2 linked regions of the Neodiprion lecontei genome follow. Each later gene encodes a partner of the first gene's protein in a complex. Links are inferred from orthologs where the notes say so. Each region holds a gene or a part of one and is shown in the gene's direction. Other genes may lie near its edges. The genes, in order: translation initiation factor eIF-2B subunit beta and translation initiation factor eIF-2B subunit gamma.

Region 1 (4,274 bases):
CAGCTCCGATATCAATTTCAAGTCGCGTATTGATACTAATGCTGTACAGATTAGTAGATTTGAAGGTATAAAGCTGCGGCTAATAATCTAGCCAAGCTGAGCCCTAGTCAATTTACTGAAATTAGTTTACGTAAGATAAAAATAAAGTTGTATGACTGTAATCAAAATTGTATTAAACATAATAGACAAGTATAAAAACTCATAGTTTGATCACTATACGATGAGTAAAGTCATATTATAAAATGACTAAAATTTAGTTATGTACTTCGCACAGCAACTATTTGCTGTAACGTACTGCCATCTCCATGTAAATACCATGTATTATATAGAAACGTACTGTTTACCTATAAATAATACTAGCAATATAACTGTATCAAAATTATAGGTGATCGTCCTCAGTATCTTAAATATTTCCCTATAGCTCAATGATTATCGTTGATAAGAAATGAAATTTAGAGAGAGAGAGGGAGAGAGAGATGAAGGAAAACAACAACAACAACTGCGAAGCGTGTTTATATATTATTGATTAATTAATATGATGCATTTGACGCAAAAAAAAAAAAATAATAAAAAAAAAAAAAAAACCTTATCAAACTGATTATGAATTTCATAAAAACTGTCTAGGAAAGCTAAATTTTCGAATACAAGAACTTCTACAACGACCAAGAAATGGACGTTTGAGACTCGCAGTAGGTGAAGTAAAGTATAATAGTAATCAGACATGTTTCGCTCCTTGTTTTCAACTCGTTGTCGCGTTAAAATATTATCTGCGGACTTAACAGGATACGTATCACTGATATCTAGGCACAGGAATTCGATCGAGTTCCTAAAAACGATCACCACGATGTTCCCGTTAAAAGTATATAGGTTACGAATTGTACTATAGAATATATATTTAGGTGAGAATGATTTTTTCCAAATATATATATATTTTTCTTTTCAGCGACTTTGGCAATAAATTGTAAACGGCAAAATCATTGTAACGAAAAACTATACGGCAATGCTAAGAAAAACAAGACAAAGACAACAATTTTAGCTTCGTAAAGATATCCATATGTAGGGTGAGTATAAGTGATGCATGTAGAAGGCAAAAAAATTAAATTAACGAAAAAACTGAATTTAGTCTGGGTATAAACAACCGTAGAACAATGGTATACGGAGAGTAGAAGAACTAAAACTAAATCAACGTTATATAGTATGGCATTGAAAATTTCCAATTTTTTAGATACAAATTAGAATATTAGGGACTGGAGTCTATTCATAATTATAAAAATCAAGTGATAGCCGTATTAATAATTCAAGTATTATACGTATAAACTTTCATGATTTTTCCCCTATAGTATATTACTAAATATTAGTAAATATTTTAGATGTTTAAATTCAAAATGAATTTGTGACTTTCATGAAATGGGAAAGTCTCTATCTACCTGTATAATGTGTTAAATATTGCTTTTATATTGTATGTTTCAGTTCACGTCACCCCGATTTTATAAATACAGGCAAATATTGTTTAAGAATTTTTAATTATATAGTTATTGAAATATCGGAATAGCTCAAGTACTATTATTATATTACATTGTTGGCAGTTTTCCACTGGTAGTGGCAATATCAATAAATGTTAATTACATCAAGGCCGAATTTCATTTAGATAAGTCCCCACCAGAGTCCACTCAATTATACTTAACATTTCATACGTTTCTCATATACCTATATATTCTTATTTTGCGATTTCTTCGAAGAAATCGATTACAATTAACGTCACAACGTTGGCCCTGTTACTACAAATTGCAGCACAGTTGTTCACCAACCAATTTATAGGAAAGTGTTGCTTTGCGGAATTTCAAAAAAATCGTACATTTATTACGATACTCATTTTTCAAGTATTTTGTACTACAAGAAATTTGAATTTAGCGGTAACGACTGTCGATAGCAGGAAATTTTAGTCGGTATCAGTTGTGTGGAGAGTTCTACTATACCGATAGAGAAAAAGGAAAACTAACGTCCGTCGCAGTCGCGTTGATCCAATATTGCCGTGAAAAGTTCTGTAATTATTTTCGATAAACCATATCGAGTAAACTTTAGTGCAATAAAATGGTAGCTGATGTTCCTGATAATATCCACCCTAGTGTGTTAACCTTGATAAGGGATATTAATTACGGGTATAATAAGTATTTCTGAAACATAACCTTCGATTCACCAAACTCTAAAAGCGTTTGACATTATCGTGTTGCAAAATTACTAAAAACTGAACACACTGGTAATTTGTTACAGGAGAATCAATGGTAGTTACAACATCGTAGTATCGACCGTATCGCTATTAAAGAATATCATTAACAATTCAGAATGGAATACCGCGGAGTAAGAATAAATTTTGATAACTTGAGTCTAATTATTATACCAAATAATTATAAATAATTATCCATTTTAATGTTTGCTGTCAACTTCCACAGAGAATTGATGAAATTGATCAAAGAAAATGGAAAAGTTCTGATCGATTCTGTACCGATAGAATCGTCGATAGGTAGTATGGTTCGTAGGATACTGAAAATCATCAGGGAAGAGTACATATCGGAGTTGAAACATAGAACGGAAGAGACGGACCCTCAGGAATCCCTTCATAAAATTCTTACCGCAGGAGGAGATCAGGAAAATGACTATTCCCATTCCGTTCCCTCTCTGAAGTCCGCACTCATCGAACACATTACAGAATTTCAAGTCGAACTGGAAACTTGGTCTGTATTTTATACCCCCGCACATTTGTCTCTTTAATAAATAGAACGTCCATTTCATTCCAGTTCTGTTTCAGCTCGGAAAATATTACCGAGCAAGCGTCGGAACACATTCACTCCAATGAAATTATCATGACACTGGGAAGATCCAGGATGGTTGAGGATTTTTTGAAAAAAGCCACAGAGTCAAGGACTTTCGAAGTCATCGTAGCCGAAGGTGCACCATTTCTTAATGTTTGTATATTATTTCTATTTTGTATCTTTACATTTTGAAATAACATTCATCAAGTGTTCAGCTGTACAATCTCATTCATAGCTCATATTTGAGCATTTTTGTAGCCTTAGATCTATTAATTTACTCTCGTGCATGCTTTGTTTTGCTATTATTTCACAGGGCCACGAAATGGCTGTAAATTTAGCCAAGGCAAAGATTAAGACGACTCTGATATCTGACGTGGCGATATTCGCTATGATGTCTAGGGTAAATAAAGTAATAATTGGAACTCATACAGTCATGGCTAACGGAGGGCTCAGGTCTATCACAGGATGTCACACAGTTGCGTTGGCGGCTAAGCATTATTCTGTACCGGTTACAGTCCTACTACCGTTGTACAAATTGTCGCCTTTGTATCTTTGCTCGTACGAACAAGATGCTTTCAACAAACACGTCTCTCCGACGCAAGGTGTTATAGATGGCACCAATTCTCTACTGATGGAAAAAATTCAAGCCTACAACCCTGTCTTCGATTACGTTCCACCGGAACTCGTCACGTTGTTTGTTACCAACACGTTAGTCATCACTTTACACACAGCTTTCAATGTGTGGCAAATCATTCCAACATACTTTTTTTCTTTTCAGTGGAGGAAATGCACCGTCCTACATCTACAGATTGCTAAGCGAGTTGTACCATCCCGATGACTACGAATTATAATACATTGACCATACGAATATGACAATGAAAACGTAATTAATTTGGTAAAACTAAGTATGATAATCGAAATAAAAACTTGACTATATTTATTAATAAACTATGAATTATCTTGTGTCCATTTTTCACTGTGATGAAACATATGTGGCCAAACAAAGGAAACAAAAAATATGTGTGGAAAGATAAATTCGGAAACTCGGAGATCAAAGTCAGACAAGATTAAACGGATACTGGAAACCGTTTGTATTATATTTGCACATGACGATGGCACGGTAATTGGGATTTCCACATTTAGATTATTTAATGTTGAAACACTATACTTGTATCAAGTAAAATTTGACACAACATGGAACTTGTTTCTACAACCAGATTCCATAGTTCAAGCACAGATAAAAACCAGTAGATTTTTCAGCATAGATATATCTATGTACTATTTGAATTCTAACACGAATTGTTTTTGTACATACATATACATGTATGTATATATATTTATCTAAGTGCAGAATTAGTCAATAGTTGGTAGTTATTCACAATATTTGGGTCTATTTACTATCATCAGACATAAGGATTCCAGTTGCTACCGTCTTCGGGCTGCAGAGAATTGGTCACCAATAAA
Region 2 (6,694 bases), on another chromosome or scaffold:
CAACTTATTAATAAATCTGAGTTTAATACCCCTAGTTCGCACACAGCTGCCAGAAAGGCACGAAATATTGGATCCTTTTCTTCTACGCCCCCATTTGTCAAACTTATTAAAGACCTGGCAAGTCCGGGGCTGAAGTGCTTAGGGGCTAATAGTAAGATTCGTCTGACTAGTCTTAGCGCCTGTATCCTTTCAATTTCATTCCTTAAATTTAAATCCATACTTCGCGCAACCAAGTATGGATATTGTAGTTTATTCAGCATAATAACATCCTGCTCTTTTTTAAGCATATATCGCACTGCACGTAAGGCTGCTGCACGGACTTGTGTGGCTTCATTGATAAGTCCAATACGAAGACTGTAAAGAAAAAATGACGATTTTTAAGAAAACAAAACATTGTTAACAATAGATTTGGAGAGTCAGGAAGGCCAACCATCTTACTACTAGGAACTAGTCTACATCATAAGGTATATTTCAACATCAGTTCTCACATTACGATTGTATTTTTGGATATTTAAAAGGGAAAAGATATAACATATGTGAAATTAAGTAAAACTTTTAAAGGATGATAGTTGACGAATTTACAGAATACCTCATGCTATATATTTAATAATAAAGTACAAATAACATAAATCAATATCTCACCAACAAAATAATTCCTTATTACAGTACCCATATTCCACAAGATCATTCTCGCTGATGAATTTCACAATGGCATTTAGATAAGCTAATTTTCTTACGTTGGATATTCCTTGGCGTTGACATAGATTCGTTAATACCTCTTGTACATTTTCTTTTATATCTACAAAACAAATCATTCGTATCAAGAGGCATTTGTGATAATAGAAAGAGAGGTAAAGTTAGTGTTTAGAACTGTGACGAGCAAGATATTTTTACTTTTTTCCAGATATTTACTTGTTGCTATAAGTAAGAGTATGGATATAAACTTTCAATTAGTACCGGCATTGAAGGGTTCATAATATATTCACATCTGACTTTGAAAAGCAAAGAAATTCGAGACGAATGTGATAAGAAAGTAAGTTTGAGATGCCCAGTGCTATGGTTTTCACGTTACAGTTGGAAAATAAATTTCCAGATTAGTTTGACACTGGGGAATTGTTATTGTTGGAGATATTCAACTGTTATTGTTATTATTGGTATTTTAATTGCTGTGATTATTAGACATACTGTTGTATAACATTCGAAAGTAAGATTGACAGGTTAGGGCTAGGTTACTAACCTTTTGACAGATCCAGTTGCACGGAATTGTCTTCGCCATCAAGATGACCTGCGGCAACAAATGAATTAGTTTTCGATAATGAGTTCATTCAAAATATGTGAAAAATGAGCATACTTTTATGAGATCTATTAGACCGTGAACTCCTTCCACGAATCATCCAACTAGCCATTGCTATTCACTGCCGGCCGCTATCCACAGGGACATTTAATACTTTCGTCCATTTAATAGTATCTTTAAACAAAGGATATTTCATTCTTAAAACATCGAAGTACTATCACGGCTTTAATTATTGATGAATCAAGTGTGATTTGATTCAAGTGACACACGTACGGACGTTGAACTCGACATAGTGTACTTTCGATTGTGTAGAATCTAAAAAAAAATTCTACATAGGCACGTATAGGTGCCAGAGTAAGATGGGAAAACAATCGAAGCTTTTCGCTACACTGCGATCTGTTATTGTAAAAAGCAACTACAAGGGTATTTTGTGGAAACTTCACACAGAGTGCAGCACTATCTAGATTGGCACTGTTGCACCAATTTATTCTAAATCGAGTGACTCCAAAATTCCTGAAATTTTTATTACAATCAATATTGACGTAGGACTTCTGTTACTTAATTCGATCCTGTGATTTTCTCTGCCAAAGTAGGCCGAAATACAAATCACAGCCAGCCGATCTCGCTTGTGATTGCTAGTGAAGTTCAAATTTATGCCTGACGTGGTGAGCGAAAACAATTCATATCAACGTACGTCGAAGATCCAGTTCGATAGGGTAGAAATTTGTGAAGCAAAATATTGTTGAACAAGTATTTGATATAATATGTGATGACAAATAAAAAACGTGCTATAATTGATATAAAAAGAACCCCAAACGATGTATGTATATGGCTGTAGCGTACAAAAATTACAAAGAAAGCACACATTCGTTACCAGTATTGTTTACTAACCTACAAATGATAAAGATGGTGACTATATAATACCACCTGTGATATTACACAAAAATACCTTGGCTTCACCTATCTTCAATGCCTCAGCCACGGGTATAAACAAACGAAGACAGATGGACTAATTCATTGGCACCAGAGGCATCAGGATTGGCATATTTCCACCATATTTCCGATCAGGGAAGCGTCACACGGAAGAATAAAGTATAAATAGATGGTAATTGTTCGGTGATGTCAATAATAGTTATGAGTTAACCTGTCTGTCAAGAAAATATCAATTCTCCATATTTAGTAAGTTTTTCTGAAAATGATAGAAATAGAAATTGTATGAACATCCACAATTCTTAGAATCGATACTTGTACTTAGAAGGAACATCACTCTGGTTTCCCCCTCTGATTTCGTTGCAACGCATGTATGATGTTGAACCTTGAAAATTAAAAGAAGTGTATTTAATTTATCGGCGGAAAAACGGTTTAAAAGGGTGAAATAACCCTCCAAAGTAAGGCATTTCAAGGGGCGATTTGACAGTTTCACCCGCAAGCAATCGGCTGATTTCAATGAACCGAAATTGAAAATGTTTTTCATGTTAATCATTGTGACGACTACCATACATATTGAAACAAAATAAATAAAGTTGAGGGGTGAACCGTCCCTCAATTTTTTTTGCACTCGCCATTCAAAAATCGTGGACCTAATTGAATGAAACCAATGCCATTTTATAGAAAAAACAAAATGGAAGTTCATGTATTTTTGCGTTTTTCAAAAACGCAAAGTCAAGGGAGTAAACTGCCCGCTGCATAAACTTACTTCACATGCCATCTTCCATCTGTTTAAAATGTATCTGCTGATTCAAAATATATTTGTCAGCTCATAGTTGAAGTTTCATCACATTATAAAATCATTAGGCATGTGGGAGGGTATCAAACATGTGCCAATTTATTTTGATATGGCTGATGCCATTAGATTGAAAACACGAACGTTGTGTATGCGCACTCTTGCATACTTAAAAACTACCTCTGCAAAGAGGATAGACTACCCCTCAAGTGAGGGTGGGTATCAATACTTATATTTGTACGTTAGAGAAATTTCCGTGCTTTTTTTATACGCTAGGTAAGAGCATAATTTTTAAATGGGCTCATTCACTGTCAGTTCCTTGTTTTTAAACAACGATCCATATGAACAAATTCATTAGCATTATGTCTATATGAATGATATGTAAAAATCCATTCTTCCGTTCAAAATATTTGTAGTCGGATTCAATACATATGATTTAATTTATTTTATAATATTTTCATGTTAAGGGTCTTGTTTTTACGCACGCACGTAGACAATAAAACAGAGATTCCTATTCTTTAATCACATATCGTATGGTATACAAGACATGTTAAAATTGAATGTGTTGGTAAATGATAAGGATGTTGGTGCAATATAAGAATATTATTAACTATGGGGTGGTCAGATAATATATTATTTTTCTGATATACCTGCTTTAAAAGCTCGTAACCTTTGAAAATTTTTTCATTCCATGATTGTTAATATATGTAATATTAATCATAAGAATGCAACATAAGAATATAATATAATATAAATGTAATATTTTGTAATAGCGATCAAACAAGAGTGGTTTTGGCAATTAAATTGATTTTAATTGGTAACATTTTATTTAGATCAAAACGTTTTTTCACTTCAAAAAAAAAATACATTTCTTAGTTTTCAGTATTCTACAACATACATGAGTGGCAACAAAATCAGAGGAGGACACCAAAGTGATGCTCTTTGTTAGTACTTATAATTGATATACATTTTCTTTTACTACAATGTTATTTATGATACGTATAACTTTGAATTCTTAAGCTTGATTCCATTAACATCCAAGAAAATTAATCTACAGATGAAGTGGCTAATATAACTGCTACTTTGACCACATTAAATTGTAATAGGTAATATCTCACATGGTTGTGTCATAAGTGTTTATATTTGTGCCAGCTAATAAGTAACACAGAAAAGTCAGGAAGTACTGTCTAATTATAGTAAAATTCTCGGCAACACTAAAATTTATCTAACCCTATACATTGCAGACCCTTTGCACCTGGAATCGCATGACACAACATGTGGCGCCAAATGGAATTTCAAGCTGTAGTCCTTGCTGCAGGCAAAGGATCCCGAATGACAGAATTGACAGCTAGTCGAGCCAAGTGCTTGTTGCCTATTGGAAACTATCCCATGCTCTACTATCCCCTAAAACTTTTAGCACGTAACGGGTTCATGGAAGTCATTGTTGTGGTACAAGAAGAATGGAAAAATGAAATAGCGTTAGCTATAGACAAATTGAATATTAGACTCAGATGTGATTTCGTTGGAATCCCAGGTGGGGACGATCTAGGAACTGCTGACGTCCTCCGATTAATCCATGAGAAGTTCTACACAGACATCATTGTTCTCCCTTGCGACTTGATCATGAATATCGATTTAAGTGGCATTTTCAATTCTTATAGAAGACATTCAGCAATCATTATTTCTATGCTGATCCAACTTCCAACATTTTCTGACAAATTGATTAATCCTGGACCAAAGAGCAAACCAAAACCAGAGAGAGATTTGATTGGAATAGACAATGAAACTAATCGATTAATTTTTTTCGCCTCTGCATCAGATTTTGAAGAAAAGATAAATATATCACGAAAACTGTACAAGAAACATACAAACTTCAATATTAACTCAAATCTTTTGGATATACACTTATATATCATCCATAAATGGATTTTGGATTGTCTACTAATTGACAAGTATGTCTTTTAGTAAAAGAGTAACGATCAGTTAACGCCACAAGTGTATTTTTACCTTACTACCGAAGTACTGATTAATTTTTGTTTATTTTTTACAGAAGCATCAGCTCTATTAAAGGTGAATTATTGCCATATGTTATCAAGAAACAATCAGCGCAGACACACAACCCCAATAAAATAGAAAAAAGTACATCTATCATGAAACAAAACACTGACAGAGATATATTTAAATTGGTAACGGACAAAGCTCTGAGCAAACGGAAAAAACGTCTAGATGTTTTGATCAGTGAAATGTCGCCCTTCAATGACCACTCGACAAATTTGGAGAATGCTTATAACGAAGATTTGATAAAATGTTATGCTTTTATTCAAAATACCAAATTTGGATTTAGAGCAAATAACATACATATGTACGCACTGGCAAACGCAGTAGTAGGTTGTTCTGTTATGGAAATTTGCATTCTACATTACATAATTGAGAAATTAATATAAGTTGGTTATCCAGAATTTGCTCTGTTATGGCTTGTTGGTTTTTGCACAATAATTTTTGTGCCGACAGTTCCCACTCTTGGTGACCTCTGAGGGGCTGTGTCATAAAACATAAATCTCAGAAACATGGGCTGAAGTAATATTAGCCTACTAATTATATTACGCCTTAAGTTGATTATATTTTCAGATTCATGAAAAGTGGGCTATTCTGTCAGCGGCGCCAACGATATTTTTTGATGATTCAATGATCAAAACCAACCAAGTTGAAAATTGCACAATTGGTTATAATGCATCAATCAGTGAAAAGACATCACTGAAGCTCAGTCACATTGGTACAAGTGCAGTTATAGAAACGAAAACAAGGGTTTTAAACTCCGTTGTAATGGAAAACGTTATGGTCAAAGAAGGGTAATATAAAACATTTTTTTGAATAATAAAGTAAACCCAAATAAATCACTCACTGTTTTGTCTGTTTTTCAGATGCGTAATTAACAATTGCATATTATGCAATGACAGTGTAGTCGAAGAAGGCTGCGAGCTAAATCATTGTATAGTAGGAGCCAATCATACGGTACCAGCTGGTAGTCGGCATTCTGATGAAGTTTTGACCGATATTGGTAATCTAATGGAAATTTAAAGATTTGAGAAAGTAACGTTATTCGCAACTCTGTATTTTAATGATGTCAAATACTACGAAATAAATAATTTGTTTACTTCTAATTATACGTTATTGCTAGTTGATTATTCGAATATTGTAGTATGATGTGGGCACTATATTCCCCCGGAAACATGAATTGTTCTTCTAGTGCTTAGCATCCGACATTCTGGTAGAAAAAAATAACTCAAATGGTAAAAAAACTAATATAAGTAGATAAATACACCGTTGACTGAACATGTAAATTGTACTGTCCACGATCGTGGGAAATTTTAAATTTACGCGGGCTTTATGTGGCATAGGGTTTGAAATTATACCCAGACTACGAACTCGGACCTTGATAAAATATTTTCAATGTGGGCATCTTGAGACAACTGCAGGCAGCGGATCGCTGTGAGCCTCGCTCGTGCCGTCACCTAGCGGTTTCAAAAGCTAAATAGCCGGCGTGTTAATTTACATTAGAGGCATACTGATAAATATCCAAATCAGCAAAATATTATCAAATAAGTGATATTTCCATTGTAACAGTGAAGTGAAAAGTTGAAACTAATAACGAGTTGAAACTCCAGTAGTATGTAGCA

What was found.
Region 2: translation initiation factor eIF-2B subunit beta (region 1) and translation initiation factor eIF-2B subunit gamma share a complex: the UniProt entries of both Homo sapiens proteins name them as parts of the translation initiation factor 2B (eIF2B) complex. The link is inferred for Neodiprion lecontei from reciprocal best matches to the Homo sapiens genes EIF2B2 and EIF2B3.

Annotation. Positions count from the first base shown.
Region 1 is NC_060265.1:21,914,373-21,918,646, reverse strand, and holds translation initiation factor eIF-2B subunit beta, read left to right. Parts: upstream 1-1,989; 5' UTR 1,990-2,091; coding exon 2,092-2,159; intron 2,160-2,271; coding exon 2,272-2,358; intron 2,359-2,450; coding exon 2,451-2,732; intron 2,733-2,806; coding exon 2,807-2,963; intron 2,964-3,123; coding exon 3,124-3,648; coding exon of another isoform or gene 3,649-3,661; 3' UTR 3,662-3,758; downstream 3,759-4,274. Other genes in the region: TM2 domain-containing protein CG11103, read right to left, coding at 4,214-4,274. UniProt on the Homo sapiens protein: Acts as a component of the translation initiation factor 2B (eIF2B) complex, which catalyzes the exchange of GDP for GTP on eukaryotic initiation factor 2 (eIF2) gamma subunit.
Region 2 is NC_060263.1:38,049,989-38,056,682, forward strand, and holds translation initiation factor eIF-2B subunit gamma, read left to right. Parts: upstream 1-2,186; 5' UTR 2,187-2,473; intron 2,474-3,893; exon of another isoform or gene 3,894-3,961; intron 3,962-4,037; 5' UTR 4,038-4,123; intron 4,124-4,261; 5' UTR 4,262-4,292; coding exon 4,293-4,969; intron 4,970-5,067; coding exon 5,068-5,401; intron 5,402-5,645; coding exon 5,646-5,866; intron 5,867-5,938; coding exon 5,939-6,095; 3' UTR 6,096-6,179; downstream 6,180-6,694. Other genes in the region: rapamycin-insensitive companion of mTOR, read right to left, coding at 1-354, 643-799, 1,238-1,285, 1,352-1,406. UniProt on the Homo sapiens protein: Acts as a component of the translation initiation factor 2B (eIF2B) complex, which catalyzes the exchange of GDP for GTP on the eukaryotic initiation factor 2 (eIF2) complex gamma subunit.